Linked DNA regions of Tribolium castaneum. The protein of the gene in region 1 purifies or fractionates together with the protein of each later gene. This does not show direct contact. Links are inferred from orthologs where the notes say so. Each region holds a gene or a part of one and is shown on either strand. Other genes may lie near its edges. The genes, in order: protein dj-1beta and Pten.

What was found.
Region 2: the proteins of protein dj-1beta (region 1) and Pten purify together in Homo sapiens (affinity purification with western blotting; 4 studies listed by BioGRID, with this or other methods). This does not show direct contact. The link is inferred for Tribolium castaneum from reciprocal best matches to the Homo sapiens genes PARK7 and PTEN.

Annotation. Positions count from the first base shown.
Region 1 is NC_087401.1:11,625,478-11,640,967, forward strand, and holds protein dj-1beta, read left to right. Parts: upstream 1-11,590; 5' UTR 11,591-11,613; coding exon 11,614-11,781; intron 11,782-11,832; coding exon 11,833-12,058; intron 12,059-12,409; coding exon 12,410-12,657; 3' UTR 12,658-12,699; downstream 12,700-15,490. Other genes in the region: TWiK family of potassium channels protein 7, read left to right, coding at 1,641-2,170; Hsc20 (iron-sulfur cluster co-chaperone protein HscB), read left to right, coding at 2,983-3,326, 3,380-3,572; N-acetylglucosamine-6-sulfatase, read left to right, coding at 4,166-4,267, 4,314-4,373, 4,420-4,626, 4,674-4,991, 5,042-5,237, 5,292-5,602, 5,970-6,224; Nnp-1 (ribosomal RNA processing protein 1 homolog), read left to right, coding at 6,454-6,661, 6,709-6,788, 6,841-6,981, 7,027-7,622, 7,669-8,362; uncharacterized protein pasi2, read right to left, coding at 9,328-9,429, 9,558-9,794, 10,780-10,874, 10,923-11,052, 11,108-11,305; thioredoxin-related transmembrane protein 2 homolog, read right to left, coding at 12,700-13,178, 13,227-13,407, 15,318-15,461. UniProt on the Homo sapiens protein: Multifunctional protein with controversial molecular function which plays an important role in cell protection against oxidative stress and cell death acting as oxidative stress sensor and redox-sensitive chaperone and protease.
Region 2 is NC_087399.1:149,038-165,746, forward strand, and holds the start of Pten (phosphatidylinositol 3,4,5-trisphosphate 3-phosphatase and dual-specificity protein phosphatase PTEN), read left to right. Parts: upstream 1-11,631; 5' UTR 11,632-12,187; coding exon 12,188-12,233; intron 12,234-12,305; coding exon of another isoform or gene 12,306-12,447; intron 12,448-13,611; coding exon 13,612-13,860; intron 13,861-14,088; coding exon of another isoform or gene 14,089-14,108; coding exon 14,109-15,049; intron 15,050-16,709. Other genes in the region: uncharacterized protein LOC663924, read left to right, coding at 208-271, 817-1,005, 1,054-1,244; uncharacterized protein mtsh, read left to right, coding at 2,599-3,033, 3,088-3,561, 3,613-4,068, 4,117-4,275, 4,323-4,484, 4,533-4,649, 4,694-4,873; nmd (outer mitochondrial transmembrane helix translocase), read left to right, coding at 8,054-8,220, 8,268-8,485, 8,534-9,255; uncharacterized protein LOC103314152, read right to left, coding at 9,738-10,097, 10,154-10,676, 12,306-12,447, 14,089-14,491. UniProt on the Homo sapiens protein: Dual-specificity protein phosphatase, dephosphorylating tyrosine-, serine- and threonine-phosphorylated proteins.

The DNA.
Region 1 (15,490 bases):
GCAGAGGTTTATTACTACTCTCTAATAAAGTATTTGTATTTTATAAAAAAATACTTTTGAAATACCAATTTTTGCATTATTGTTATGTTTTAGCCAGCAAGTAGCCCTTATTTAAATATCATTATGTCATTTAGGCACAAAATAAGAAATTATCTTTGAAATCTTTCTTATAGTAATAATTCAAAAAATTAAAAAATAAAATAAAACACCAAAATTCTGCGACAGATTTTAAAAATATACCACCGTACATTCGAGCTGTTATTAAAACCAAAAAAAAATATTAGATACAAATTACTAAAAAGTTTTTCTTTTTTTTGCCCAAACAATTAGTTGTCCAATATTTTTTATTATTTTAATTTTATGTTAAATAAATCTTTTGTTATCATCGTGAAAAACTATTATATAGATTTAATAATAATACTCGCAATTCAAATCTAAGATATCCTAATTTAATGTCCTTACCCTTACCACATTTTCATTCGGCTGTGTTTCAACGTTCATTTACTTACAACTCAGTTTCTTTTAACAATAAATTAAATGCGCCTATCAAATCAAACAGTTTTCGCAAACAATTTTTTTTAAGTAAGCAGACAAACAGCATATAATTATTTTTATTATTTTTTATTTTTAATATTATTTGCTTACCTCCTCTATTCGTTTTCATTTTGTTTTCTTGTTTTGTTTTATTTTGGTTATCATATTTATTCTTCTTACCTATTTAAGTATGATCGTAATGATTTTAATGTTCTTGTTTTTTTTTGTATTGGGGTTGGAGCAGCTTCGGCGTATATTATAAATATTATTATTATTATTATTATTATTAATTATTATTTTTAATAAACATTCACTAGCTTGACATGCATTTTCTTTACAAAAATGTATACGACCGAACATTTAGTTGTTAGGGCTCGTAGTACAGGCTGTTTGTGGATCGCGCTCGCAAATTTTAACCACTAATAAATCTCGCCAAAAAAAAAACGACTTTTCTGTCTCCAATTTTTGCCTAAAACATGTCATTTCTGAGTTAAAATTAAAATTAAGTTGAGGCTGAAAACCCGTCTCCGCCTATGTCTAGATACGATATTTCCATTTGCTCAAACAAAAAAAAACTATGGAACGTAAACAGCGTAAAAACAAAAAAACCTTATTAGTGTCAATGTTAGTAGGTCAGTAGTAATGGGAAAAAAAATTTTGGATACGGAATTTGTTTTGTCTTTTATTTTTCATAACGCATTCTTTAAGTGGTTAAAATTTGTGAGCGCAATCCACAAACACCTTGTATATTACGTAAAATAAACCGTAAAATTGCTGGAACAACCCGTTTTGTTCTAGGACTTTTAGTTTTCGAGTCATGATTTTTTTAGTGAAGGACTAAAAATAGTACCCATGTGAAAAAAATCAAAAGTTCAAATTCAATTTGCAGTAATTGCTCCTCCAGTCAATCGGCTCCGAATCACCTTAATCAAAGCTCAACTTTCGTCAGCATCCTCTCACTGTACATTGCAAAAGCGTAAACCAATTAATAACCAAATCCGACTTTCTATCCCCTAGTGCAGCATTCAATTAAGTTTAATCGAGTTTTTGTCGAATTCCAACTTGATTAATTGTTATAACTGATTGATTTTTGTTTCGTTCCGCAGGCTATGGTTCCGTCTCACCGCGGACATCTTGGGGTAAACTCGTCACCATCTTGTACGCCTTGGTGGGAATCCCCCTCATGTTGCTCTACCTATCAACAACCGGCGACCTCCTGGCCCGCAGTTTCCGGCGCCTTTACGGCAAACTCTGCGGCATGAGCAGCCAGAAGCCCCCATGTCCCTGCACCAACCCCGTGCGGGTCCCCGTCACCCTCTGCCTCGTCATCGTCCTCGCCTACATCTGCTCAGGGGCCGTGCTCTTCCACCGACTGGAAAACTGGTCGCTGCTGGAGGGCTCCTACTTCTGCTTCACCTCCCTGGGGACCATAGGCTTTGGGGACCTCCTCCCGGGGCAAAACGCCGAGGAGGTCTCCCTGTGCGCATGCTCGGCTTACATCCTCACCGGCATGGCCCTGGTGGCCATGTGCTTCAGCCTCGTCCAAGACGAAGTCATCAATCTCCTGCGCTACATTGGGGCCACGTGCACCCGCAACAAGATGCTCAAGGTGCGCGACGAGGAGAGCGCCTCCTGACAGCGGCCCCAGACCGAGGGGGCGGCCCCCATCAAGAAACCCCCCGTCGTCAACAAGATCCCCCCCATGCTCCAGCACAACAGCCTCCCGCGCAAAAGCAACTTCAGCCGGAACACGCCCGCGAGGAGGTCGGCGGGGGCGGAGCCCCTCGTCGAGTATTTCGTGCCGAGGAGCGTCAGCGAGTTCGACCTGTCCATAGCCACCGGGGACACCCCCATCACCGGGAACTTCCTCCCTTTGACGGTGAGGGTCCCCAGGAAAATGGCCAACAAGCAGAAGGAGAAAATGGTGACTTTTGAGGACGAAATGGCCGCGAAACTGAACAAGGATCCCGAACTCCAAGACGTGTTCATGTGACAAAAGGGATAACAATTAGTTAATAAGGAGACTTGTCTCGTCGATGATTTCAATACGGTCAAGCGGGAGTTGAAACAGTTCAAAAACTTCAAGCTGTGCGAAGGGTTGAAGAAGTGCGACGAGGACTGCTCGTGCAACGCCGAAGCCGAGTGCGATATTTGCAAAGTGATAGATTTTACCATGAAAAAAGATAAGTTATAAGGGAATTACTAGCAGTGCCAAACTTGTACATAGTGTAAATAAGCGATTGAACTGATTTTGTAAGTTAAGAACCAAGCAGTATTGTCTCTATAATTGTTGATTTTTTCCAATAAACACCCGACAATTAGCACTTTTTTATTAGCACCCCCTTGACTATGCCATGTTGGTGGACCTGCATTTTTGTATTTCGCGCACAAATTATGCGCATGCGCTGCCTAACCCAACCTCAAAAATTGTCCTAAAACCGTAATAAAATGTCCTTACGCACTTTCCTGTTCCGGCAATTACCCAGAACAATTTACCACACTCAAAAATACAGCCCCCATGTGCCTTTACTACAATCAGACGCACATAACCTCAATCTGTGCCCCCGTCGTTTTAACCACAAGGCAATAAAGTGCTGGCAGTGTGGAATTGAGCGCAAAAACCTTGGTGAACTCTTTTGTGAACAGTGCAATTACATACAGTCACCCCCCGAAAAAGACAATTATTTCAAAATTTTCGAGTTGGAGGAAAAATTTTCCATTGATCCAAAGCAACTCACTTCGAAGTATCGGCAAATGCAGGGTCTTTTACACCCTGATAAGTTTTCAAACAAGTAATGTGTGTCCTTATAAGGGTTTTGAATATTATAATTGTTCAATAATTTAGATCTGACACAGAAAAGGATATTTCAGCCGAATTTTCATCCCTTGTCAATAAGGCCTACAACACGTTACAGACGCCCCTAAAGCGGGCCATACACTTATTGCACCTGAAAGGGGCTGTGATTGACGAAGACCAAAGGGTTGAAGATCCGGAATTTTTGATGGAAATTATGGAATTAAATGAAGAAGTAAGCTAGAAGTATGTTGGTTCAGTAACTTAGAGTTATTTAAGGTCGAAAATGCCGATTCCGACGAGAAATTGAAGAAACTAAAGCTGAAAAATGACTCAGAACTTTCCAAAATCGCAAACGAAATTAACAAGTGTTTCGAGACTGGTGAAATAAACAAAGCAAAAGAAAATATAATCAAAATGAAATACTTTAACAGTGTCAGTGTCCATATAAATAATTTAATACGAGAAAAAGGAATTACGGAATAACGATCGCGTCCTTAATTTAGCATTAAGTTACGTTGGTAGTGCTGTCGAGAAATTTGTCAATAACTTTTTTCCAACGAAAAACGTTGTTTTGTCGATTGTTTGGGGCAAAAAATGGGCAAGCAAAATTCATTCACTGCATTCCTGAAAGGTGTATACCAGGACGATTTCAAATGGTGAGTCTTAAACCACGTTGGACGAAAGTGAGGTTATGTGCGTTGCAGGGCTCTAGTAAAAAGCATCGGTTTGTTCGCTTTAGGAGTAAGAATCGCACAAGAGTTTCACGGAGTGGAGTTGCTGACGCCACAAGCGTAAATTAAGTGCGTGTAATTAGTTGTAAATAAAGAAATAAACATGTGGTGGTTGTTTTGTGTCTTTCTTCTTAACCAGTCCCATGCGCTACCCAATTTCGTGTTTGTGTTAACTGACGATCAGGATTTGACGCTGCGAAGCTTGGTGAGGCTTCGCCTTATCAAAGGGGCTACTTTATCTCTTTTTTTAGGATTTTTTAAATCAGACTGTCAAATTGGTGGCTAATCAAGGGCTCACTTTTACGAATTTTGTAAGTCGAGTTGTTAACACACTTGGGTCATTTTGTGTGGTTTTAGTACGTCAATTCGCCCATTTGTTGCCCCAGTCGTAGCACGATTTTGACAGGGAAGTACCCACACAATATCCAGGTTTTTAATAACTCGCTCACAGGGGGCTGCTCTAGCGTGAGGTGGCAACAACAGTACGAGAAAAACACAATTGCGTCAATTCTCAAGTCGCGAAAAAACTACACAACGTTCTACGCCGGCAAATACCTAAATCAGGTTTAATCACAATGAAAAATTCACTCTTGTTTATTATTTTTTTCAAGTATGGAAAGTCGGGTAAAGGCGTTAAACACGTCCCCCCAGGTTACGACTGGTGGTTGGGGCTTAAAGGCAACTCCAAATACTACAATTACACGCTTTCGATCAACGGCAGTGGTCACTTTTTCGAGAAAGATTACTTAACCGATAAAATCACAAAATATGCTTTAGATTTTTTAAATCAGACAGACGAGGGAAATTTTTTTATGATGTTGGCGCCGCCGGCATGTCACGCACCTTTCACACCGGCCGACCGACATCGCCGGTTATTCCCCGACTTGGAAACTTTGAAAACACCGCCATTTAATGCAACACCGTCTGATGTATATTTCACGGTCTCGAAAAAATTTAAACTAATAATTATATTGTATAGAAACACTGGATTGTGGCTATGCCTCCCATGAGTTTGCCCCAAAACGTCCAAATTTTGGACGAAATTTACAAAAATCGAATTAGGACGCTACAATCTGTTGATGAGATGGTGCAAGCTCTTATCACAAAATTGCAAGAAATTCGGGTTTTGGATAATACGTATTTTATTGTTACGTCCGATAATGGGTTCCATATTGGTGGAAAATTATTGTAATAATTTTTATTTGTTAGTTTGATATAATTTGTTTAAGGTCAATTCACGCAACCGTGGGACAAAAGACAGCCGTATGAAAGTGATATTCGTGTTCCTTTCATGATAAGAGGGCCCAACATTCGCAAAAAAACCGTATCGGAAGTTTCTGTCTCGGCAGTGGACATATTTGCAACTATTTTAGATTTGGCCGAAATCACATCATTTGAATCAGACGGACGTTCATTTAAAGAAATATTATTTAAAAATCAATCATTTGATAATAAATATACTTTCATCGAATATTGGGGCGAGGGCAATGCCAATTCGATCGATAGTACATGTCCTTGGGGCCCCACTAACCAATTATCGGTAATTATTAATAATACAAGGGGTCCAGCCTAACTCTTGTCTTCTGTAGCTCAGTTATTATTAAAGTTGTTGGAGTTTTAATATTTTGTATTTGTTATTTGTACTCTAGGACACATTTCAGGAAAATATTTCTGTTTATATACAGAGTGTCAAAAAAATATGACGTCATAATATGTTTTTTAATGGCATTCTATTATTTTTAGTGCTCATTAGGATACCTTGTTTTCTTCTTACTATTTTTTTTTCTTTGGTTTCACAAATTGTTCATTTATGACTAGTTTTATTATGACACTTTTTTTGGGGCAGGAGATGAGCTGGACCATCCCCTGTAGACTGAAAATAATTATTTAGGGCCACTCTTTTGCAGGAATGTGTACCAGAGGCATGGTGCAAATGCCAGGACTCGCGAAATAACACTTACACATGTGTTTTGGACATTTCAAGTGCGAAAAAAATCAAATTTTGCTTATTTGAATATGGTTTTGTGGAAGCATACGACTTGATCGAGGACCCCCACGAGCTTGTCAATTTAAAACTGGACGAGGATCAAACGACTCATTATCTCAATGTTCTCGAAAAATTCAAATTTTGTAAAAAGGCCCAATGCCAAATAAACATTTAAAAAAAAACTAGTGATTTTTTCCCTAGGGGTTGGTGCCCCAACCTGCTACTGAACGTTAATGAAATTAACGGTTTTTTACGATTGACGGTTTAAGACAAATACGTTTCTGATAATCACCCTGATCGTTTTACCACGTCCCCAATTTCCCATTCCATTTGAAATTATAAAAATTGTTAAATAAACCTGGTGATTTTTTCGTCTAACGGTTGGTGTGTCGAGTGGTGCAAAAATGGCGGTGCTTGAAACGAGTATGACACCTAAGACACGTGAAAATGCGAAAAAACCGTCAAAAAATAACAAAAAACAAGCCAAAAAGGTGCTTTTAGTGGCACAAGAGTTAAAACTCGCCCGCGTTTTGGCCGGAAATAACAAAACAGCGCGAGATAGGGCGCTGAAAAGCTTACGAAAGTGGTTTCAAAACAGGTCGTCTGCAATTCGTGAGTTGGGTACAAATTTGCATCGTTGTGCTCACACTTCTTTGCAGCTTTCACTGAAGATGATTTCTTACGACTCTGGAAGGGTTTGTTCTATTCAATGTGGATGTCGGACAAGCCTTTGGTTCAAGTGAGTGTATTAAAAAATTTGGTACAATTGTGGTCAAAATTACGAAATTTAGGAAGAATGTGCCGAGAATATTGCAAGTTTGATTCACGCGTTGCCAGTCGAGGGGGCCTTGTTGTTTTACAAGTGTGGGATGACGATTTTAATGAATGAATGGTTTGGGATTGACCAACTTCGACTAGACAAGTTTTTGATGGTAAGTTAGTTGGGTTGGAAAAATCAAAGTACAAGTTTGTTTTAGTTTGTGCGGCGGCTTTTGAGACAGGCTTTTCTGGTGTTGAAAAACCAAAATTGGGGGCGTGATTCAGCCCAGACTTTTACTAAAACACTCTCAGAGACAATTCTGGACCCCCCACGACACAAACCAATGGGGCTGCTTATGCATTTCATTGAAATCTATCTCGAGGAATTATCCAAAGTCTCAGAGGGACAATTGCCCCCACAGTTAATGACAGAGCTGTTAGCCCCTTTTGTGAGACAGTTGTCGTTTAGTGACGATGCTAGAGTCATTGATCATATCAGGAAACACATTTTTATTTATTTGATAAGACAGTCAGATTTGGGCTTGGAATATGATGAGAAATACAAAGCTTGGCGCGCTTTGAGGTTTCCTGGGACTATAGACGCCATGCAAAAAATCGAAGTCTCGGACGACGAAGGGGGCGAGGAGGAGCCCCCACAAGACAAAGTTTTCGACCCTCGGGCGGGTAAAGTCAACGTGGACTTGCCACAATTGAAATTCCACCCAAGAGCTGTGTCTAAAGCTTTACTAGAGTGTAGGTTTTCAAAAGAGACCAATTCCAAGTCACGGAAGTGTCTAACTGAACTAGCAGAACAGTAGGTAACAATAGTGAGAGTTGACCCAAATTTGAGTTTGTCTCAGTTTTAGGAAATTAGCATCAGGGACTTATCCCCTTGGTGTGAAAAAAGTAAAATTAGCATCTGATGATTACGATACGAATATTAGAAAAGCAGTTAATCGTTTAGTAAAGTTCGATAAGAAAATCAAAGGCACGAAAAACCGCAAACGAAAGCTCCAAAGTGACACGATTGAGTTACGAGGCGGGAAAAAAATCAAAATCGACGAAAAACTGCGCGAAAAATTCCAAGACGATTTAGTTCGAGTCATGAAAAAGAAACGCAAGTTGGTCGACAAGCCCGAAAGCCCGCCTGAGAAACAGTCCAAACTACAAGTTGAATCAATTTTCAAACGTAATTCCGGGACGTGGTTGGTCACAAAACCCCCTCAAGAAGAAGCGCAAAAAGCGCCACAAGAACTATTTCCGAAAAATAAATGGGATGAGAGCAACCATGCAACTGAAGAGGTGGAGAAAAGCTTGAAGAGTAAAAGATTGAGTTTGCCTACGAAACTAATCAAAAACCCATTTGCCAACTCGACTCCGGTCAAGAAAGTCAAAATCAATACCAAGCTCAATAGGTCACAAGACGTGCAAGAGCACCATGCCCAGATTTTGAGCTCGCCACAAATTCCATACGACGCCAACAAGAAGCCGGCAAAGCCGTTGCTGAAAACTCCGACACTGAAGAGCCCCATTGATCCTTTCTATGCTTTGTAAATCTATTTTTTACGTAATAAAATTGATAATTGTACAGTCATGTTTGGATTATCCGAACGTCTGAATCCCGTAATCCGAACTACCGCTTATTTATTTTAACTCCGGATTATTTTGTAGAAGGAAGCTGAAACAGCTGTTTGAATATATTGTTTAGTTTTTTAATTTCTTATCCTGAGGCAGAAAACCGAACGCAAGTTCAGATTATTTATATAATTTATTATGAGTTCTGTGGTCTGTACGGTTTTTCCAAACATTGCAATTGAAATTTTGATACGCCTGGAAGTTGGGCAACCACCATTACAATGATGCATTACATTTAGATGGTATTAGTTGACATTTTGACTTAACCTAAAAATGGCGGTGAATTTGGCCGATCAAATTCTGTCAAGCAGAAGCCAATTTATTAAACATTTGCGAGAAGATTTGGCAAAAACTGAACAAACCATCTTCTCTGTTACGAATCAATTGGACGAGTTGAAACTTACAAGCGAAAATGTCCGCACCTTGGGCAAAAAAGTGGAGCACCAGTCCTTGATACCTTTAGGTGCAAATATCTACGTTAATGGCCTGATCACACACACTGGCGAGTACTTCTTGGATAAAGTGGCCTTTCCTGAATCGTACTCAGTTGTTGAAACGTTGGACAACACGATAAAATTATTAGAAACTCGCATTAAGACCCAATCAGAGTTGCTCAAAAAAGGGGAGGATTCAAGGACACAAATCAGCGAGAGGATTCGGCTCCTGGAGGATGGGGACGGGAACGACGACCTCCCTAAGGAAATAGTATCGGACCGAGGAGTGGCATTGAAAGTGGGCGACTATTACGAAATCGTCGAATTCGAAAATTAAAACAATGTATTATCCAAGTGATTACAATAAAAAAATATAAAACTGTGGACGGATAGATTACGATATGGTGGACACGGTGGTCCCGAACGAGAACGAGCTGGGAATCCCATAACTCATCCCACTGGCATCGTCGAGACCGTACTGTGGGGTGTCGTCGGTCGAGAGCCCGCCAGGGAGGGGACTGTCGATGCATTCAGAGACTGCATTGTGCCCATCTTAACAAAACAAAATACTTTTTAGCCACAATTCTACAACGACCAAACGCTTACCTAAATTGTACCGTTCTGTTATCTATCGCAAGCATGCACAAAATAAATTATTTACTAATTGTACAGTCACTCACCCTCAAATGCGCCAAGTCCTCGAGTCGCGTCAAGTCGGACAATTCAATGTAGAGCGAGTAGACGAGGATCCAACCGTAGATGCTTATGGCCAAAAACACCGTCCAGAGGAGGCACATTAGCACGTTGTAGGCGAAAATCATGTCGTTCACGATGGAGAAGAAGAGGTAGGCCAGGAGGCGGAAAACGGTGAAGATGCCGAAGGCGTACAGCCACGGCACCATCTTCTTCTCATATTCCTTAATTAAACAATTAACATAAGTCCGTCATTGTTACAATAAACTGCAATTTTTTATTTTTTCTATAAATTATATCCATATTAATTTTGTTCTATTTAGTGGATAATACCAATAAAAACATTTTTGTAACTTCAGGTTTTGTAGAAAATTAATTTCTCTTCCGTGGTAATTAAATACAGGGAGACCCAGGAGTGTGTAATCAGTCTACATTTTTTTTGGTAATTGAAATATTGTTAATTGTTAGGCTGTTTTTATTATCCGATAGATGACTTAAAATCCACAAACTAAAAATATTTTTATTATACACAGAGTGGTGAACTAAAGTTATATTTTTAAACAGAACACCCTATATATTTTTGCATAATTAGAATCTACGCGAAAAAATAATGTAACTTTATATAAACTATTATGGTTCTATCTTTTTTCGTTTTAAAATTAATCAACTTTTCGTTATAAAAAAGATAAAAAATCACTGCAAAGTCGTCTATGAATATTTTTCGGAAAATTTGCAATAAAAAAATCAGAATACCTTGCAGTTTTAACAAATAGACGCAAATTCAAATTCCAGAACCACCTGAGATCCTACAATATTTATAAACAGTCCGTATAATCTATAATAGTACATGTCGTTGTACAAACTTAGTTATAAGAGTGCGCAAAAGTGGATATTATAATACAATTAAAAAACCACTTACTTAAAAGTAACATGGAAAATATTGCTTTAATTAAATCAGGCGCCCAGCTTTCGCCGGGCAATCAAGAAATTTTCATAGACTCATTTGAATTGTTCCCCTCCACGGAAATCTTTAGTAAAAGGCGAAAGATTTATTCGCACTGAAGGGAAACCAGAGTGATGTTTGAAAATCAGCCTTTCGTTTATATCCTGGCCCGTACGTATGATATTCGTGACTCGTTACATTTAGCGCCACCTATCCACCACCACAACAAGTACCAACAACAACAAATCAAAGTTTTGTAGTTTTACCTTCCGGAGAGCAATTATAAGCATAATGCTGGTCACAAACACACCAATTGCCAGAAGAATGGAAAAAGCAGCAAACATTACAAGAGTATTGCGGACTAAAACAACAAATTGAGGACAAATGGGCGATTAAATGGTGGGCTTACCGTGACGGTTTCCCACGTAAATAAACTGGTAGGAAATAACGTAATAGCCGGTGTGGACGGACCCTGGGACTGCCATTGAGTAGCAGTAGAGATCGAAGCAACTTGTGATAACTGTGAAGATGGACAACAGCTAAAACATGAAATTTATGAAAATGTGATATTTAAACAAAGGGGGCGTAACATACCAAAGAAAACACTCCGATTAATAGGGAGGATCTCTGGACGTCCAAAATATAAGATTCGGTTATGATTGGTTTTCTGTACCAAGGGATTTTCAACGATTTTATACTTCGGCTACTTCGCAAATTCGCACTGCTGCGTGTTGTGACGTGTGAGTACACCGAGGGGGTGCCAGTCGTTGGCGATTTCTTGCCGTAATTCATGTTTTTATGTATTTTTTAACAATTAAATCAATAAATAAAGGTATGACACATTTGGGTAGGTAAACAAATAGGTGTGGCAAACGTCAAATTCCGCCGCCAACCTTGCAACACCAACTAACTAGGTGTGTTAATTACAAGGATGTAATTACCGTAATTAAACAAAATCAGTCATTATGACATTAATTTAGGGAGTACGGACACAAGGGGAATTACGTGTATTTATTTCCAATTTTATTTTTTGCAAAATATGCAATTTTGTTGAACAACCTAACGCGAACAAAATCCCCAAACTGGCATGACCTACTCCAATGTCAGTCATATGTCAAAGTTTTAGGGCTCCGCTCACTCGCTTTAATAGGTTAGGATTAGCGGTGCGTTTTATTTCGAATATGAGCACAAAAGCCCTTGTTTTCCTCGCCGGAGGCGCTGAAGAAATGGAGGCTGTAATCGCAATTGACGTACTTCGCAGAGGCGGTGTAAATTAACCCCTACTAAAAAAAAACACAAATTTTTCCTGTTATTTTTAGGTGGAAGTAACAGTTGCAGGCCTACCGGACGCCAACATCATCAAGTGCAGCCGCGGTGTCAACATTAAACCTGACATTTCAATCTGTGAGGCCAAAGGCCCCTTTGACGCAATTGTCTTACCTGGGGGGCTAGGAGGGGCGAAGGCTTTGGCCGCGTCTAAAGAAGTAGGGGAGTTGATTCGGGAGCAGGAGGCGGCGGGGCGACTCACGGGGGCGATTTGTGCCGGTTTGTAATAATTTACTGTGAAATTTCCTTAATTATACAGGGTGACCCAAGGGTGTGTAATCTATTTGATAAAACTACAAGGTATTCAGAATTTTTCTATTGCAAATTTGGCGGAAAATATTCATAGGCGACTTCGTTATGATTTTTCAAAAATTGGTCTTTTTTATAACCAGAAGTTGAATAATTCCGTTATACAACACCCTGTGTATAATAAAAATATTTTTAGTTTGTGGATTTTAAGTCGATCTATCGGATAATGAAAACAGCATAGCAATATTTCAAATAGCAAAGTTACACAGCCCTGTGTCACCTGTATAATTGGTTGCCTATGTTAAAATTATGGGGTTGTAGCGCCCACGGCCTTGAAGGCCCATGGGGTTTATGTGGGCAAGACTGTGACGTCGTACCCAGCCATGGAGGCGCAAATGCTCGAAGGTGGTCAATATAAATACAAAAAGGAGCCAGTTGTGGTTGATGGGACTCTGGTTACAAGTCAAGGGCCTGGCACTGCCTTCGTCTTCGCCCTAACCCTAGTGGACAAACTTGTCGGAAAGGACAAGGCGGCAGAAGTGGCCAAAGCCATGCTTTTGTCGTATTAACAATTTATTACTATGGCACTAGAAACAAATAAATAACAATAATTAGTCGTTCTTCACGTGTTTGTTCTTATTATTCTTAAGCGCGCTCTTGCACTCTTCGTACAAGTTATTGAGATCGAAAGCCCCTTTAACGTTCTCACTCGAGAAAAAGAATTTCAAAATGTTGCCTTTTGAGTCAATAGCCGGCCTCCGCACCACTTCTTTCCCTTCTTTAAACAGAATTGTCGTGGGTAACTGCTTACTTAAACTGCTGTCATTCACGCGATATTTCTGTGCGGCATCGGGGTATCGCCCCACGTCGATTTTCCCAAACTTGAAATTCTCCAAGTGATATTCGGTGCTCAGTTTTGCGAAAACCGGGGCGAAGTTCACACAAGCCGGGTTCCAGACGGTGTAAAACGTGACCAACCAATAGCCGTCCCGACTACGTGCCAATTCCTCGTCCAAGCCTTGCATGCCCCGGAAATAAATGACATTGTCAGGGCCGGAATACGTGGGCTCGGGAAATAGCAACGCCCCCACTGAAATCACCCAATTAAATGCGACAATTATGACACAAAATGACTCACAGATGAATATGATCCCGTAGATAATGCCCATCAGAAAATCGGCGTTGAACCATAGTATCAAATTCGCTATTTTTGTGTACACGAAACTAGACGATAAGTAATTGATCATTGATACACTGCCCGATTTTCGGGTCCTGATCATGATCACGATGATCAGGAAGAAGAGGATTTCGGTCTCGCGCTGCAATCAAACAAGTTGGGTGATATTCACAAAAAGTAGAACGTGTTTATACACACTTATAATTTTTTAATAATTATGAAATCACTAGTATGCTATTCGTTATTATATTTCTGCAGAAGTCAGCTTACTAAAAGACATTTTGTTCGGCTGTAAGTAACAGAGTTTGGAAGATTTGGAATTTTTAGATGATTTTTCGTCGATTTCGGTGCGGCTTCGATGCCTCTGGGCTTATCATAACCAAACCAATAAGTTTGGAAGACTTTTTTGAAAATATTATGTTCAAAATAAAACTAGAAATAACGAATCTGCATTTAAAGTCTACCAGACAGCAAAACCGGAGTAAATCGTTGGAGTTACAGATTCGTCTACAGATACAAAATTTTTCTATTTAAAAAAAATTACTCAAAAAATTTATCAGTCTTAGATAAAAACTAAAACTAAAAATGTTCGGATTTCTCAAACGAATCTACTTAGAATTTTGTTAATTCCGGAGCATTCCGGGCGATTCCGGGCTTATAGAAAACAAACTTTTTAAATGGGTTGAAAATGGTGTTATTTAAAACTTTAAAACACCGTTTTTTTGGTCGAAATTTTGTCAGTACTGAACGGAAAAGCACTAAGTAAATTAGGTAAAAATTATGTCATTTCTTTTTGTTTTCAAGCGTTTTAGGATGTGTTGTTCAGATAAAAACCAGAAAGGCAATTATTTCGCCAAACTTAATAAAAAATACGCCAAAAAATAACATAATTATGTCGAAATTGGTGTAATTTTTACTTCCTTTAAAACGAAACACAAAATTACTAACCTAAATGAGTCTAAAAATTTAAATATGTTTTCCTTTTTTAACCATTGTTTGGTTGGAAATGCGCCTATTTTGAGGAATTTCGTCCAAAATAAGCGTAGAAGTCAATAGATTTTTGTAGAACGGAATAGGAATAGTGATTTTTTTCCGTTCTAGACGTGAAATTCAATAAATATTTAAAAGTTACAGAATTGCCCACAGAATTTTATCACAAGCAAAATTTCTCAAAAATCAACCGAAAAAAATTACTAAATTGGATCAAAAAGTAAATTCTTTTGATTTTTGAAATATTATTCTAGCCATTTTCATTAAAATACGCAGTCGTTCAGTAAAATTTCACAAACAATAAAACGACAATTATTAAAAAATGAAGCTATTTTTTTACATTTTCGACCGCTTATCTAAATAAAATCGCATTTTTTGCACAATTTCGCAGAAACCGCCAGAAAAATTAATGAATTATTGAATTTTTCTATTATATTAGCATGTTTTTCATTCAAAAAACGCAATTATTAATCAAAATTTCGCCAAGAATTACTCAAAAAATCATAGAACGGGATCGCAAATGGCGTTATTTTTGCCTTTTTGAGCTTAAAGTTTTCACAAAAGTGTGTTGAAAGTGGCATTACTTCGCGGCGTTGTATGTTTTGAAAGTTTTTTTATCCGAAAGCGCATTTTTTTGAAAAGTTGAGATAAAAATTGACCTAAAATCGACTAATTGACTCGAAAACACTGTTAATTTTATATTTAATAAGAGAAATAATGCAATTTAATCAGATAATTAATTATTTAAAAAAATTCCCCAAAAAATGCCAAAAATTTCGTTGACATAGACTGACAATTTATGCCTTTTTTAAACTAAAGTTTAACACTGAATTCTTTCCTTGTATAGAAACTCTCAATTTGTGCATTATTTCACCCCAAAAAATTCAAGTGCTGATGCAAAATTCTACAGTGACCTGAAATGGGATATATTTTAAATAATTAAGTATTTGCCCATATGAAGAATAAGCATCTCTTTATGAATATGGTCAAGTGATTACTTTCAAATTGAACTGATACTTCTAGTAGTTTTTCTGAATATCACCCATTAATTCCAGGACTCACCCCATCGAACTCGCATTCCTCCACGTGGAACAAATAATTGCAAAGACCTGGGGTCCGCTTCAGAATGACGTACGAGAGGCTTAAGACGATATTGAAGAGATAATAAGGCTTCAATAATTGTTTAAAATCGGCTTTTATTGACATTTTTATCAGAGTTCGATGACCCTGAGCCG
Region 2 (16,709 bases), on another chromosome or scaffold:
ATTGAAAAAACAATCCGTTATATTTTTCTTAAACGCAGATCGCACTTTATGAATCTTTCCGTTAGAATCAAGGTTTCGCGCAGGCCCTATTTGAAGCTGCATTCAGTCTTCATATTGAACTCAAACCGAACATTTCGTGATCATATAATCTAATTTTATTTAAATTAAATAATTCTTTTCGTTTGAAATTTTTAACACAAACCAATAATGGTCCATTTACAATACATTACTGGACTATCCCTTCTTCTTATTTTAGTGTGTTTGAAATCAAGTAAGTATAAAACACCCTCCAGTTCGAATTTAACTTATGCCTCTCATAAATTTATTTAATTATTGCTACACTTGTGAAGTGCTACACTTGTGAGACAGTAATGATTACATAATCAACTACTTTTATTGTTCGCACCCTTCGAGACCCCTCCAATTTTTTCCACCAATTCAAGTAAATCGCTACTTGTATTGTAGACAATTTTAGAAATACTTTCGCTAAAAAAATTATTAATCAGAAACATGTAAATGCATTAATCGTAATTAATTTAAAAAAGAAAAAGGTGCATGCGCACGCGCAATTTCATTTCGAAGATCAATAAGCTGTACCATTTGGGAATAAAGAGAGAATAAAGTTGAGAAAATCTGAATACTATTTGTTTTTGTTGACGCAAGTCATATCATGAATGATAAACACTAATTTATTCTATTTCTGTACCAAATTTATCTGTGTTCCACGAAGAGACTATATTATGTTCATTGAAAATGAAAACACTTTCAATGCACACCCTCTTTAACTTAAAAAAAAAATCATCCGTTTTCTCTTAGGTAACGCCATTAGATGTTACCAGTGTAACAGTTACGCGGATAAGAGATGTAGCGACACCGATATTGCCAAATATAAGACCGAGTTGGAAATGGATTGCCCCAACATGTCGCCCCCTGGAAGTGAGCCCGGAACAAAGTACAAACTGTGCCGGAAAATCAAGCAAGTGATTGACTTTGAAGTCAATGGATGTAATAAGTGAGATCGAGAGTTTGAACAGTTTTGATGATTATTTTTAGTGCAACCGGAAAGTCGTATTATCAGGACCTGTGGTTGGGATGACTCCCATTACAAGAACAAATGTTATCAAAGGTCGGGGTTCGGAGGTCGTCAAGAAGTGTGCGCTTGTGAGGAAGATGGTTGCAATAGTAGTAGCGCACTTTACGCTTCCGTCGCGTTACTAATGGGCCTATTAATTGTCCACCTGTGAGGTGTTGGAGTTCATTTCTTGCTCACTGGTCGGTCTTCAATAAAAACAATTTTTTTTATAATAAATGTAATTAATGATCAGTTTGCCAATTGCTCGAACTTTTTTCGGTGTGTTCGTTCGTTGAATACGAAAATATTTGTTTCGTGAATAAGCACAATGTTAATAAGCCACAATATCATTGTAGTAGAAGTTTAAATCTTGTTATTAGACATGCTAGAGAATGATTTAAAATTTAATAACTAGTACAAGAATAAAACACAGTTTGGATGGTGATGAGTAAGTATTGTCACTTTGATCCTATTGTATGATAATACATTTTAAATCAATTCGGTTCAAACTTTAGAAAAACCGAATCGGTTTGGTTCGTTTAGATAAGATAGTTGTCTGATTTTCTCATAATCGGTTGCTTTAACGGACGTTAGATGTACATAATTTACTGCCAAAAATGCATTAAATCCATTGACGATTGTTAATCATAATAATAGTCTAACGTAACTGTTATATTACTTTTAGATGCACAACTATAATTTTAAGAGTGAATAAAGCATTGATTTTGAACCGGCCCCATCCTAAAGCCCCCCAAATCTGTTGAGGTTACATAACCGCACAAGAACTTACAGTAATAAAACTAATAAATACAAAACTATTTGTGACTTACCTTATACTCTTATCTGTCCAATTTTAATCCAGTTTCACGAAAAAAACACACAAAATAAAATAAACAAGCACTTTCGAATAAGACCACACTATTACCAACCCCACCCCACTAGGAGAAACCGTACTACCAACCTTTTTTGAAACAATTTGCGGGAAAAATAAGAAACACAAGCTTTAATCAAACACTTTTCTATTTGATTAGGTGATTATTATCGGCACAAATCATTTTTTTTTTCGTGAGAAAAAATTAATAAACGCTATCATATTGGCGTTGCTATGACGATCCTGAATCCATCAAAACAAACAAATTTTTTTCGTACGTCAAATCCGTGTTTGAAATGTTGTGAAAAATGTTATTTTAAGAATTAATTAGTGCAATTTTATGTAAGTATTAATCGCTTGCGTAAGTTCGGCATAGTAGCGACTCAAAATTGCGTAAAAAAAGATTTTGTTAGAAAAGGCAGGACCGAATTGGCCCTCTGTGACAAGGCCGGGCTCCTGATTCGGTAGTCGGTAATGATTAATGATTAATGAATTTGAAACTAATTTTTTGTATTAGCTTAGCGAATAAAGGACAAATAAACGCAAAGTTTGTTTTAATAATGAGCCCATTTCTAATAGTAACCAAAAGTCCTAGACAAGATTTAATTAACGTGCTAATTATCCCCTCCCTTCCAGAACTTTCCCAAGTTATATAATGGATCAAAACCGTCCTGACGTGAACGGGAATCATCAACAAAACGTCCATTTGCACATGCATCACGTATGCGCTTGTCAAAGCCTCTACCCCACCACTTACTACCCTCCGATCAGTTATCGCACCCCTTTAATCCCTTACGCTGCTGCACCTCAAACTGTTGCGCGCCCTTATCTCCAACATTATCAATACACTCAATTCAACGTCGGCAGTCAATACAACATGCCAATGACACAATTATCATCCACATTCACTGGAAGCACCCCTGGTCATCCAGGGCCGGATTCAGCCGTCGCCATCCCTAGCCGCGATCGACGTGAAAAGGGGGATTCCCAAGACAGCGTTCCCGATCCGGAACGAACTCCTCCGGAACCACCCGAGTTTGAATTTGGTGCTGGTCCTATCATTCCCCCAGTAAACGAGCTTTTTTTCATGGTAATTTTCTAAAATTACTATGTTATTTAAACAACTCCTATCATTTATAATTAGAACAACTCGGAGGACTTCCAGATGAACACTGATAGTTTTATTAAGTTTCTGGAACGTAGTTGTTTGACAGCCGAACAAATTGCGTATAGAAATCGCAACAGGCCGTGCTTTCGCAATATACAAAATTTGTGTATTCGGACAAGATCGGAGATACTCAAGCCGCGAACAACTATTTCAAATATACACTCACAGGGGATCCCCTGGGCCACAAAGGATTTTATTTATGCATTTGTCAGACTCACCAACTGTTGGCATATACTGAAGGGTTATTGGGAGAATCGTGAAGGCTCGGCTTTGGGAAAAATTGAAAAAGAGTTAACTCCGGGTTTTAAAGCTTGTTATGTAAGATGGGAAAGAGAAACGGTTGAGTTGGCTACCGAATTGACAAGGATTTTTTATAATCTAGACGTGAATCAAAGCAATCCTAGTCCCACAGTTAACGTACATACAGCAAACAATTTGATCCCTCCTCAGGTAATTATCCTATAATTTTAATCCCAAATCCCTGACCCTGGACCATGTAAGGTGAGTCTTCTAAAAACCGGCGAAACGAAAAAAACTACTGCAAGTAGCGAAAGTGCCACAACTCCAACTTTAACTAATACAACTTCAAATTCGAGTAAGAACGTCAGAGGAATACTTCATTTACCTTCAACGTTGTCTACAGAGACTGTAGACCAAGGGAATCAAACGTGCTCTGGTGATTTTTGTACCAAATCTGATGATAATGACTCAGACGAGGAAAATGCAGTTGTTTACATGAAACCGGGAAGTTATCGAGTTCCCAAAAAATACAAAAATAAAGAATTATCAATCATCAATAAAAATAACAGCCCTCGCGTTATTGAGTTTCTTGAAACGGCCCAAAATATCACAAAAGGACTCGAAGCGGCCAATGATAAGTATTGGGTAAAAGTCAAAACCTCAGCTAAAAAACCTGAACAAGTTAAGTCGGAAATTGACGAACCGATGGAGAGTGAGGTACAATTCTCGCGACTTGAAAACTTACAGCTTTAAGCGTTTTTTTAGATGAATTCGGAAGTGTTTTTCAATGTACACGAGTGGCTCTCTAATAGTAATTTTTCTGATTATGGAGACCGATCAAGCTCTTCAACTTCACCTCCGAAACCGGCTCAGTTTTTTCCCGACCTTTTGGACGATACTTCTTCCAATCTTGAATCAGATACGGTAAAATATTCATTTCTGTAAGACTCCGTTTAGATTTTTTTAAACAGATACCGTCACGGACTTATCGGAGAAAGCCCGAAACTTTAAGTATTATGGTCTATGAAATGAAAAGTGGAGGTCTAACTAAAAAAGCTAAGACAATCCTTGAAAAAATCCTATATGAGTTGAAAGGCACGGAGTTGGCAGGATTATTGACCGAATGCGTGATGGTGGATCTTGTGTTTATTAATTGTGTTTTTTTTTATTTAAATTTTTAGGACGGTCCAAATTTGGATATGGTTCAGAAAAATCTTATTAGAGATTGTTACAGATATGTGAACGAGTTTGTGAGAGATTTGCGTCATTTGGTGAATAGTGCCAGTCAACATTTCAAAGTAAGTAGATTTGGGTGACGTTCAGGATTATTGTAGTGTTTCAGAAATGTGACCATACGGAGGACAAACTGAAGATGTTTTCGAAAAAATTAGAAACTTTGCTTGCTGAATACTTCCCGAATTATGATTTCGGGTCGATAAATGGGCACAGAGGCGAAAAAGTTGGCAAGTTGAAATTAAAAAATTGCTTGTTTGACGGTGACGGTGACCATTTAAAAAATTGATAAAGATAAGGAAAAAATTCCGATAAGGATAAGTACAAATTGGGCGATTTGCGTCTCAAAAATTTCCTACTAAAAAATCGTTAAATTTTAGGTGCATGAAAAATTGTTTTAAGTAAACTTAATTCTTGTTACAAAAAACTGTTTGTTTTATAGTCGTAAGGTTTGTTGTTGTATAATTTATTATAAATTGCTGTTTCGATTAAAAATATCTCTCTCATTAAACAAAACTTGTTTTAATTAAAAATTATACAGTAATCAGAGTTGTGTGACTTTGTCCCTTTGTTTGCAATTGGTTCCTCCTTCGAATTCCGCTTGCTCTTGCAGTTGACGGTCTCTCTCGGCCTCCCACAAGTAGGGATCTTTTTTTAGGGTGATACATAAGAATGCGCTTGCCAACATCCCCAAAATAACAAATAAAATTAAGATGCTAAAGCCGATGATAAAAGTTATTGTGTTGTCCGATATCTGAAAAGTGTCATGCGCTGTAACGTTGAGAGATGAATTGGTGGAAAGATCCATGTCTGCAAACGAGTAAAATGCAATTAAGACTGCTAAAGTCGGCTAAAAAAATCGTCAAATTGGATATTTGACTTTTAAATTATACCGTTGGGTAAAGCTAAATAATTGATTTATTTATGAGGTTTTATTGTTAAAATTAAATTGACAGAAGGGAGAAACAAACAACAAATGAGAAAGATACGTGCCGGTTTAATTTTTTACTTCCACATTAATCAACCTTGACGAGAATGTTAAAATGAAATCGTGATTTATCTCAAGTGTGGTAATTTTATTTCAGATCTGCCTTTCTTTATTATTAGAAATAAATCGAAAAAAGTTTTGTTTATTATCTTTTTCGAGTAAAATTTTCAGTAAAATTAAAATTCATTATGCAAAAACACCTTAAAAGAAATATAAATCGATTTCACTTCGTGCCTACAAATTTCTCTAAAGTCTCAACACCTCTGTCTTACCGATTAGACGATACTCAATCATCTGCAACCGAAGCAATAAAAATCCTTTCACCGGCTTTATGAACTTCCTGGCGACGGCTTCCATTTCCAGACAAATTAGGTAGACAAAGCTTTTAAAACAATTTAATTATCTACCATTTTGACTATAGATGCGAACTTTAGGAAAGCGTACAAATTCTCAACATGATGGTAATTTCTTTGGCTATAATTGGAGTAAACGCTTAATTATGCAGGTCGTTACGTGGCGTCACTTTGAATTAAATTATTTCACCAGTAGCACCTGCTATTTTTATTAATTGACACTAACAGTTTGTTTGTAAAGCAAAGTCCAAAGGATACATTTAATTTTAAAAAACAAACTTTGGGATGTACACAGGTTTGTTTCTTGGGCGTTGAGTAAAAAGGTACGTGAGTTACTTTTTCGTCTCATTTTTCTCGTTATTTTCGACAAAGTTTTGTTCTGAAATATGATTATGATTAAATAAAATATGTCCGAGGTTTTAACTTACCTTTAAAAGAATTGCGAAAAACATATTACTCATTATTTCGTTATTCGTAAATTATTATTTTTCAAATTAATGATGTTGAAAATGGTGGATGCGCCGGGAAAATTAATTGTCGCTTTGCAAGTTAATTGCTTGCATAAAAATGAATAAAAATCTATTAAAAGGAAACTTGCAGCTAGAAAACAATTTTATTTCTACTCACATCCATATTATCTTATTGTATTGTAGCTTAGACACCTCATCCGAAATAAATGTGTATGTTGTAGTATTTTTCTTTGAGTTATTCAATACTAAAAAGCTGTCACTTTATGAAAACAGAAACCAAAATACATAAAAGTCAGCTTTAATTACTTCTCATTTTATTATGCACAGTTCAGCAACTTCTCTCACATTATTTCCACATATTTCACACATTAACAATGCATAATAAAAATTACATTTTATTTATGGCATTAATTAAAAAATTTAGACCTTATAAGTACAGCCGTACCAAATTCTTTTAATCAATTTAATCCAGCTGTGTGTGCTTTTATTATCGCTCTCTTCTTTTCATTCCTGTTTTTTTATATCGAAATGAAACACCAAAATGACTGTTTTAATTAATTCCAGTTTCATATTGTTAAATTAAATTATTTCAGCATATTTATTTAACTATCTAAAGAATAATAATATGTACATGTACATCATTAAGTAAACAATATCTTGGGTTTATTTGTCTTGTAGTTAAATACAACCTCCAGTGGGATAAAATGCACAAATGAAGAAACCTTACATATTCGCATCACAATTGCAAAAAAATATATAAAAGAGAAAGAGCAATTTGATAAGAAAGTAACTGCCACTCGATACCAAACCACGCAGATATGAGACTTTTATTCCAGCTGTTATAAGGGTTTAATGTATCATTTAACATCTTCGAAGAGATTACATGAAAACATTAAATGTTTTGTCTTGAATGTTAGGTACTGAAAATTTCTCTCGCATTTCACAAAGAACTCACAATATTAAATTCGTAAAAACACATTGGTTTCACCTGCTTTTGGTATCATTACATCTACGTTTTATTGGCCTCAGGTGTTTGAATAGGGTAAAAATCGGATAACAATCGATTCTGCTAGTGTAGTGTTGAAAAGCTAGTTAACCTCCAGTGTATCCAATTTCAATTAAACTTTTCGAAATAAAGTTACGGAATTAATTTTATCACCACAAATAATTATTATAATGTTTAAATCCGATTAGATTACGTTCAAAATTAGTTGCTTATTAATAAAAATAATACACAAGACTTACCTACATTTTAATCGCAGCGCAAAATATTGGAATGTGATACTCCGACGGCAGTTTGAAAGCGTCGCGATGCTAAACTAAGCGCCGTTTCCCAAAACATGAATCTGAAAAATGTGCGAATGCGCATACGTTTCCCCAACGTTTTTTATTGTTCAATGTTCTGAATAGCTCTTTTAACACTGATAATAGCACATGGTTAACCATTTAATAATTAATACAGATTTATTGGTATAATATAAATAATAATAGTTGTAAAATTCAAAATTTGCGCCACTTTTGGTAACAAAGTCGTGCCAACCCACCGTGTGACAGTTAACAACAAGTGACACTGTTTTTACATTTCTTTGTAATAGTGGGATGCCCCGGTTTTAAAATCGTCAATGGTAGTGTAATTCCAACTTTCGCGATAAACTGAAATGGCCGATGCCGCTTTTACCCGTAATGAGATCATAAGTTTAGTTGTGAGGTTAACCTTGGTTTCTGCTGTAACGTTCATTAGTATAAAATGGTTAATGAACCAAGTCGATCCCACTAATAAGAGTAAAAAGAAGGCTCGGAAAAAGGCACAGGAGCAGTTGAAAAGGTGGAGAAATTGTTGGTGTGACTGTACCCCAATTACATAATTTTTAGGTTAGCTGGTAGCGGGCATGCTCCTTTAGTTATCGAAAACTTGTCCGACTATGAAATGATGATAGCGGCGCACTTGATACACCCCCAGGACATTAACGTGACTTGGGGCAACATCGCCGGCTTGGACGACATGATCCAGGAGCTACGCGAGACTGTTATACTTCCAATCCAACGCAAGGAGCTGTTTGCGGACTCGCAACTCACCACAGCCCCCAGAGGTAACTAATTAGAAAGCGTCTTATAGAGATTAAAACAACTGTATCTAGGTGTGTTGTTACATGGACCCCCAGGTTGTGGCAAAACGCTCATCGCTAAGGCTACAGCCAAAGAGGCTGGGACCCGATTTATCAACTTGGACTTATCAATCCTCACTGATAAGTGGTATGGGGAGAGCCAGAAATTAGCAGCTGCTGTGTTCACCCTTGCTGTTAAACTTCAACCCTGTATTATTTTTATTGACGAAATTGACTCGTTTCTAAGGTCGAGGAATACCACCGACCACGAGGCGACTGCTATGATGAAAGCCCAATTTATGTCATTGTGGGATGGTTTGATCACTGATCCGAATTGTACTGTTATAGTCATGGGGGCTACAAATCGCCCCCAGGATTTAGACCGGGCGATTTTACGCCGAATGCCGGCCACATTCCATATTTCAATGCCAAACCCTGTACAAAGAAAAAAGATTCTACAACTGACTCTTGAGAATGAACCCGTTGCGCATGATGTTGACATAGATAGACTAGCGAGGCTCACTGATGGCTTCTCAGGTTCGGATTTGAGAGAGTTGTGTCGGAACGGGTCAGTTTATCGTGTTAGGGATTACATGAAAACGCACAGTGACACGGTTTTGGATTCGTCGGAAGATGAGTATCAAGACGCATTACGGCCAATCACAATGGAAGATTTAATGGTTTCGTTAAATAAAATGAAAGAATCGAAAATGCATTGTGGGGCTTTACCGACGAATCGGATCGAGTTGGATTAGCAGCCGTGGTTTCAGTACTTAGCACCCATTATAGATAATTTTGACGACACTGTAGAAATGTATCAAAGTTTTTCAAATAATTTCAAACATTGTGTTAATTATCAGAAAAAGCTTTAGTTTTATTTAGCCCAACGAGGCTGTGCCACGAGTATTGTGTTGGGTTATTTGTGTATATAGTTTAGGGAAATGAGTCGCTCTCTTCAGAGTACAAACACTTTCTATTCAGCGTTGATATTTTAAGCATGTCGCATTCATAATATGACTTTATGTGTAGTTTACAAAGATTTTAAAGTGTGATGATCAACGGTTTTCACTCCATGTTGAAGTCATGCGTCGCATGTTTACAGTGTTCTTCATTTTTTTTATGTGAAAAGGTTAAAGAATAAAAATTACGGACGTTAATCCTCTTTTTACATTGTTACAATAATTACATGGCTTAGACAATTAATGAAATGAAAATTAAGTATTTCCCCTAAAACATTTTACTCCGCCGATAAGTAAACGTAAACAATTCGCAAAATATTCTGGACAAGGAAAGCTTCTCTTGCGCACATTTTGTCCTGAATCTCTTCGTCGCACAAAGTGGTTTTTAATTCTGTTAAAATGTCTTTACCGCTTTCTTTGATATTAATAATGCTTGTTCCAATGATATTATTGAGGATGAACAGGTGGGTCCGGAAATTCTCAAGAACATAATCATTAATTTCCAAGTCCCAATTTTCCTTCAAATGCTCGTAATGTCTCTTGACCTCTTGTGTTAATTGCCTAACAATTATGGTACTATAAACTGAATGTTTACCAAACTCTGTAATCATTATCCTCATAATGCTGAACAAATGAAACTGAAAGTGGAAGACAATGAATCGTAAAAGCATGCACGACTTGCGTTCCAACACACCTTTTCCTCGCAATTATCAATTTTTAACTCTTTAACTGTCTTGATTAGCTTTTCCACGAACATTTCGATGATTTCATCCAGTTTCGTGTTGTTCCAAATGGAGTTTTTTCGATAAGTAAAAATGCAAACTTTTAATTCTTTGAAGTCATTCAAAATTGAAGCTGCATCTTCACTCGTGCAACGACTCAGCTTAATTACGATATAGGCTAGCAGTTTTTGTAAAAGACTGTTGAATGTTTTCGGAACTTGCCATTGTGTTAACATTTTGCAAAGTTCAACGCTTGGGATTAACCAATTTTTTGGCATTTCGGATATTTCGGTGAAAACAACAACGTCGTCTGATATTTTGGTGAGAATATCGCTAATGCAGCAAACATTACGCTCATTTACTTCTTCCATAATAGTTGTGATTTTTTTTAACTGGAGGACGATTTTTTTGTATGTTTTTGTGGGAAATGGGTCAGGGTGAAGGTCAAGGCACAGGTTTTTTAAAGTCTCAGCCAGGCTCTTTTCATACATCATCCTAGAAGCATTTAAAACAAACAATTAAAAAAATTAAAATGTATGAAAAAAATGATTTGGACCAGTATAAGCATGGAAGTGGGAAAATTCTTGGAAAAATTTGGAGTTTTTCCGAGGTTAGAGATTGTGAACATGATATCATTTTCATTCGGTGGGTTTCGTTAGAAAACATAAAGTCGTATTCATTTGAACTGGAATAAGAGTAGGCTTTGATAATATAAGCGTAGAATAATAAATCATTTTGTAAATTTGACTCCGTCCATAAATCAGATATTCAAGAAAAAAGTTGCAGTTATTTTTGGAAAACTATTCAAACGTCGATTTTTTTAAATTTATTTAAATAAAAAACTAAGATAAAATTCGCAACTAAAGTTTAAATTTCTAAAGTTACCCATTATGCCATTAAAATGAATCGGACTTTAAGTTAATTTATGTGTTAAATATGTTATCAAATTTGGGCACTTACGTTGTTAATTTTTAATTAAATGTAAAAAAAATGTGGCAATAATTAATCACTTTCAATTAATTGACAAATTGATTGTGATCGATGCCTTCTAGATTATTGCGTTAAAAATGTCTTATGTTATTTACATTTTTGTTTTTAAATCACAAATGCTAGAAAAATGTAGGAAAATCGTTACAAGCAGGGTTGTAATTTTGAAATAATTAGTATATGAGTCGATAAATGAACTAACGGTGTGGATTATTAGTTTTGTCATATGACATAATAATCAATCGGTGGGTGTCATGAAGTCTCTGGTTGATTTTTGTATTTGCCCAGACCTCTATTCGCTTATCTATCGGAGTAGAAAAGAATTAATCAAACGCCAAATATTTGATTACTGATAAAAGGCTTAATATGACGATTCTTGAAATTTCGTGCAAATTCTGGGAACCATTTTCCACGTGACATTCCTTTTATAAAAGTCCCCTCATAAATATTAATTGTGATTGTATGTAAAGTCTTGTCTGTAGAATGTTCAGTCATCGTTTCGCAATCCTCTGAAATGTCACTAGCGGTGAATCGTAATTTTAATGAGAGAATTCGTCCGGAAATCGCGGTTTTCTTTCATTCATTCGCGTGAAATTATGAAATTCCCGGTCTTTTGCGCGCCCTCTATCGGAATTCTTGACACCAGTCGACGCGATGTAGTTGTCTACATTGACTGAATCTGTGTCGACAGACCGTGTAGTGCCGTAAAAAAGACAAAGACGTTTGAGTGTGGCAGCGATTTAGTCCGAAAACAGCCCCAAACCGGCTTTGAATCCCTTGATCGAGGTGCTCAGAGCAGCCCCGGCCTCCGAAATGGGGACGAGTGCGTGATGTCTATAATCAGGACGGCTGTGGAACGCATGTGGTGTGATTGTTCACCGGAGGCACTGTCCGTTTAAAGGGCCTCTAGAGGGGCTGCGCCCCGGGGGCTGACACAGCGGACACGAGGGTTCAATGGTAGGCACGCACGCCAGCGCACGAGCTATCAACATTTCGTGGACTTTTGCCGAGACTTTTTTATGGGGCTGTGCTCCAGCTGCGGCAAATCAAAGGACCGATTTAAAGGTAAGCCCCATGTTGGAGGGTTGGATACAAGAAACGCGCATCAGTGACATAATATTACCGAGATAACATTACCTTGAAGGTCGCAATATGTAAATAGTTCCGCTTTGGGTCGTGTAAACAGTCCTGCGCCCCGAACCCCCCCAAGGGTCGGCTCGCTCCTCTTCCAAAGGGTTGAAGGTCGCCGGACTGTTGCCGGGCCTGCGAAGGGCATCAACTATTCATGATTTAAATTGTTTATGCAGAGTTATTTTTAAACCATTTAATGGATAATTTAGGAAACTTTCAAGGCACGTTTCCTTCTATCAAATCGGTTTCAGTCATTCGCTCATTTTGGGGACAAAATTCGGCAACGATGAAACGGTTCATGGTCTTCTTGTGACATTAAAACGACGCGTTGTTGTCAAGTCGCACAAAAATAGCTCAAATTCAAATCGGGGATAATTTTAACACCCGCTTCCGGATTTGTTGACATATATCACGTGACTGTTGCTATTTTGACAGTTGAATATTATTATGTGTACAAAATTACGCAATTTAGGCGTCGCTTACTTATCGTCTTCCGGTTTTGATATTTGGGTCAACATTGATTTTTATTATAACATTACCTTTTTTTTATTAATTTTTTTAATTGTAATTGGTGCCAATGAACATGTCATAATAGTCATCACGCCTTTGTTCTGATGCAATAATGCAAGCGATTTTTTTTAAAGATTTTTCTTTGCTTTGTTGTGAAATTTGATCAAGTATTTTGAAATGTAAGCCAATGTGTGCTCATTGGTGCGAAATTACATCCACTGTTAAATATTTCCGTTCATAAAAATGTGAGCGAAATTAATTTAATGAGTAAATTTTATCTGCCGCATCGTTATCTATGATTTTGAGATATTGAATTATTAAAATGTGATACTGAGTACCTGTTACGAGAAAAATTAATGTAATACTCATTAAGTACTCGGCTCCGCCTCGGCCCAAAATTTACGATTTTTTTAAGTGTCTTAAATTGATTACTACAATTAAGATTAGCGTTTTTCGTTTTGATTATTAAGTTGCAGGTATAAAACGAGATGAAACCGACATGTCAACGGTCACGTATCATGTCCAAATATTTGCACAAATTGTAATTCCTTCTGTTTCCATTGATAATAAATTACCATTATCATCCTCCGTTTTTTGTATTTCGTCCAGATATTGCATAACCTCTAGACTTGTAATAAAGTGGGTAGAATACAAAATCGTAATAGTCAGACAGAAGGATAATAAAATAATGATAAGATAAAGACAAGTCCTTTTAGTGGGGGAGTACACTACATACTATAAGATTATACATATCTGCAACCGATAGAATTGCAATATGTAATGTTTTGTTCTCTCGCATCAGATAAATCGTCGAAAATATGTGGCCAACTACATTCAGTCGTTACACCCCTTCATGTGTCACATGAGCCCACAAGTTCGAACAATTTGAACGGGCATTTGCCTGTTCAAAATCACGTCAACGCAAGACCGTACTCTTCAGGTAATATGGCAACATCTTTCCCCAATATGAACATCACCAACCCTATACGGGGGCTGGTCAGCAAGAGGAGGATCCGATACAAGCAGGACGGGTTCAATCTCGACCTGACATGTATCCTTTTCAATGCTAAAAGAAATAATTCTGTTAGTACTGTTTTTAAAAGCTTTTATTTAATTAATGCTTTGTTGCCTGTGTTTCTGTTGTCCAAATAAACTGAAATTTTGCATACATACGTAATTTCCGTGACAATGCTATACTGTTTAGAGTTAATCACCCTCTAAGGGATTTTAGTGCAGATTTTAAATAAAAGCTTATTTTTAAAAATATTTTTTTAGTTACTTTCCTTGACTCGTTTGTAGACATAACCGATAGCATAATAGCAATGGGTTACCCGGCGTCCAACATCGAAGGCGTGTACCGCAACCACATCGACGATGTGGTGAAGCTCCTCGATTCGAAACACAACAACCACTACTTCATCTACAACTTGTGTTCGGAACGCACTTACGACACGTCCAAGTTCCACAACCGAGTACAAACCTTTCCGTTCGACGACCACAACCCGCCCAAAATCGAGTTGATTCAGCCGTTTTGTCACAGCGTTCACGATTGGCTGAGCAAAGATCCAGAGAACGTGGCCGTAGTTCATTGCAAGGCGGGGAAAGGGCGCACCGGGACCATGATTTGCTGTTACCTTTTGCATAGTGGAGCTTTTGCTACCGCTGACGAAGCCCTCGACCATTACGGACAAGCACGGACGCAAGATCACAAAGGGGTCACCATTCCCAGCCAAGTGCGATATATCCGTTACTACGAGACCCTGCTTAGGAACAAGTTGTTGTATGTGCCTGTGTCGATGTACATCAAGCAGATTGTTTTGGAGCCGGTGCCGAATTTTGCAGGAGGCCAAGGCTATGTGTGTTTTTCGATATCGCAACAGACGCTACAAGGACAAGACGATACACAACAAAAGTGCACCAAATTGTATAAAAGCGGAGTCTACGAAGTGAAGAGAGGTGTATCGCAGTTGCTTATCACGATGGATTTGTGTTTGGTGCTAAATGGAGATATTAAAATCGAGTTTTATAACAAGTCGAAGATTGGAAGGAAAGAGAGAGTGTTTCAGTTTTGGTTTAATACATTTTTTGTGATGTACCAAGAGGACAGAACGAACGAATTGATTGAACAAAACGGAAGTGGTGAATCGAAACAGAGTTGCGTGTTGACGTTAAAAAAGGACGAACTTGATATCGTTAATAAAAAAGACAAACAGAATAAAGTGTTTAGTGCTGACTTTCGGGTAAGTTGGATATTAAATAGGTCAGGTTTTCAAACGAAATTTTATCTCGTCGAGTACTCATTATCAATTATTGTACTTAATTCTCTTAGGACAGATGGCCGTGATAATGTCACGCACCTACTGATTTTGTTGAAAGATTAATCTTAGAATTATTATTGAAATGAAAAAAAAAAGCCAATATTATTGCTCTTAAGATTTGAGAACACAAAAAGACGGGAAGTCTGGATGATTTCATTGCGATATTTTTTGTCTGGTATTTAAGTAAGTTTATCGTTCAATTAATTGTTAATTTTTCCATAAAGAAATAAAACTCAGATAAGATAATTGTTGAAATTATCACCATCGTATATAAATGTGTCTCCTCGGATGGCATTGAACAACAAAGTTTTAATCATTTACTGCTGTTCTTTTAACCAAATTTTTAGTAATATTTGTATGGAAAAATAAACCAGCGAAAAACATAACAAGTTAAATAAACCTTAAAAAGGCCCATATTTCTTATTATAATACTGTCTTTCTTATTAATTTGATAACCAATTAGAGAAAATGATATAAACCTAAATAAGGAAGAGAGTGAATTAAAATTCGGTTTTTTAAGAGATCATGATAAAATTGACGGATGATTGATTAAACTAAATCATGTCGCGAGGTCAATGATAATGTTTCATGATTTATAACAAAAACCTAGTTATTTTCGTAACACACTGCGAGAGAATCTTGAAATAAAAAATATCTGATCATATTTTCCAATAAAAATCGCTCCGAAAAATTTCAACTGTTGATTCGAACGACGATCTTTTAAATTAACGTCTATGTCAATTTTATTAATAAACACTTACCCGTGTTATAAAAATGTTGCCCTTAGAAATTACATATTTCCGCACTACATGGCAGTAGATAAAATAATTAAAGAAATTTTTCTTAAAATTACTTACCTACTTTTGAAAATTCTTACAAAATTTTTCATTTGTCTTTTACAATTTTTAAAAGATATGGCTGACAAAATAAGAAATAATACAACACATAAATTTTTTGAAGGGTGTTACTGCGAGGTAAAGGAAAAATTAAAATGCACTCACCCGGTGGCTTTTACTTGTCTACTTGTGCTATTATTAACAATGATATTATAGATACTTGAAAATTTATAACATGCACTGATTTCTGAATGTAGTTTTATGTTTTGAAATTCTAAAATAATAAAATGATCAGTTTTCTTAATTTTATTTAAGAAGTTTATGAGCCGTTCGTTTGCGTCAACAACAAATGACAACAATAATTATGTAAAAATATGATTAAATAATATTATTAAGAAAAAAATTAACTAATTGCAGCCAACGTGCGACAAAGAGTTTAATTTGATTAATTTTTTGCTTATATGTCCTAAAACCTAAAATATACAAGGAGGTGCATTCACATCTACTAGATTAAAATATTCCTGTTTAATTTTTCGCCGTTAGTAAAACTTGAAATACTCTGTATTTATCAAAAAAGACATTTAAATACAAACTTCTCATTATCTTATCTACTAATCTAAAGCAGTTGTAAGAGATAATCATACTTTTGATGAAATGAACTTATTCATTTAAATAAGTGGTTCATTTTGATTTGTCTCTCCATGAAAAATCCATCGATTTTTTAAAACAAAGGAGCAATGAGGAAT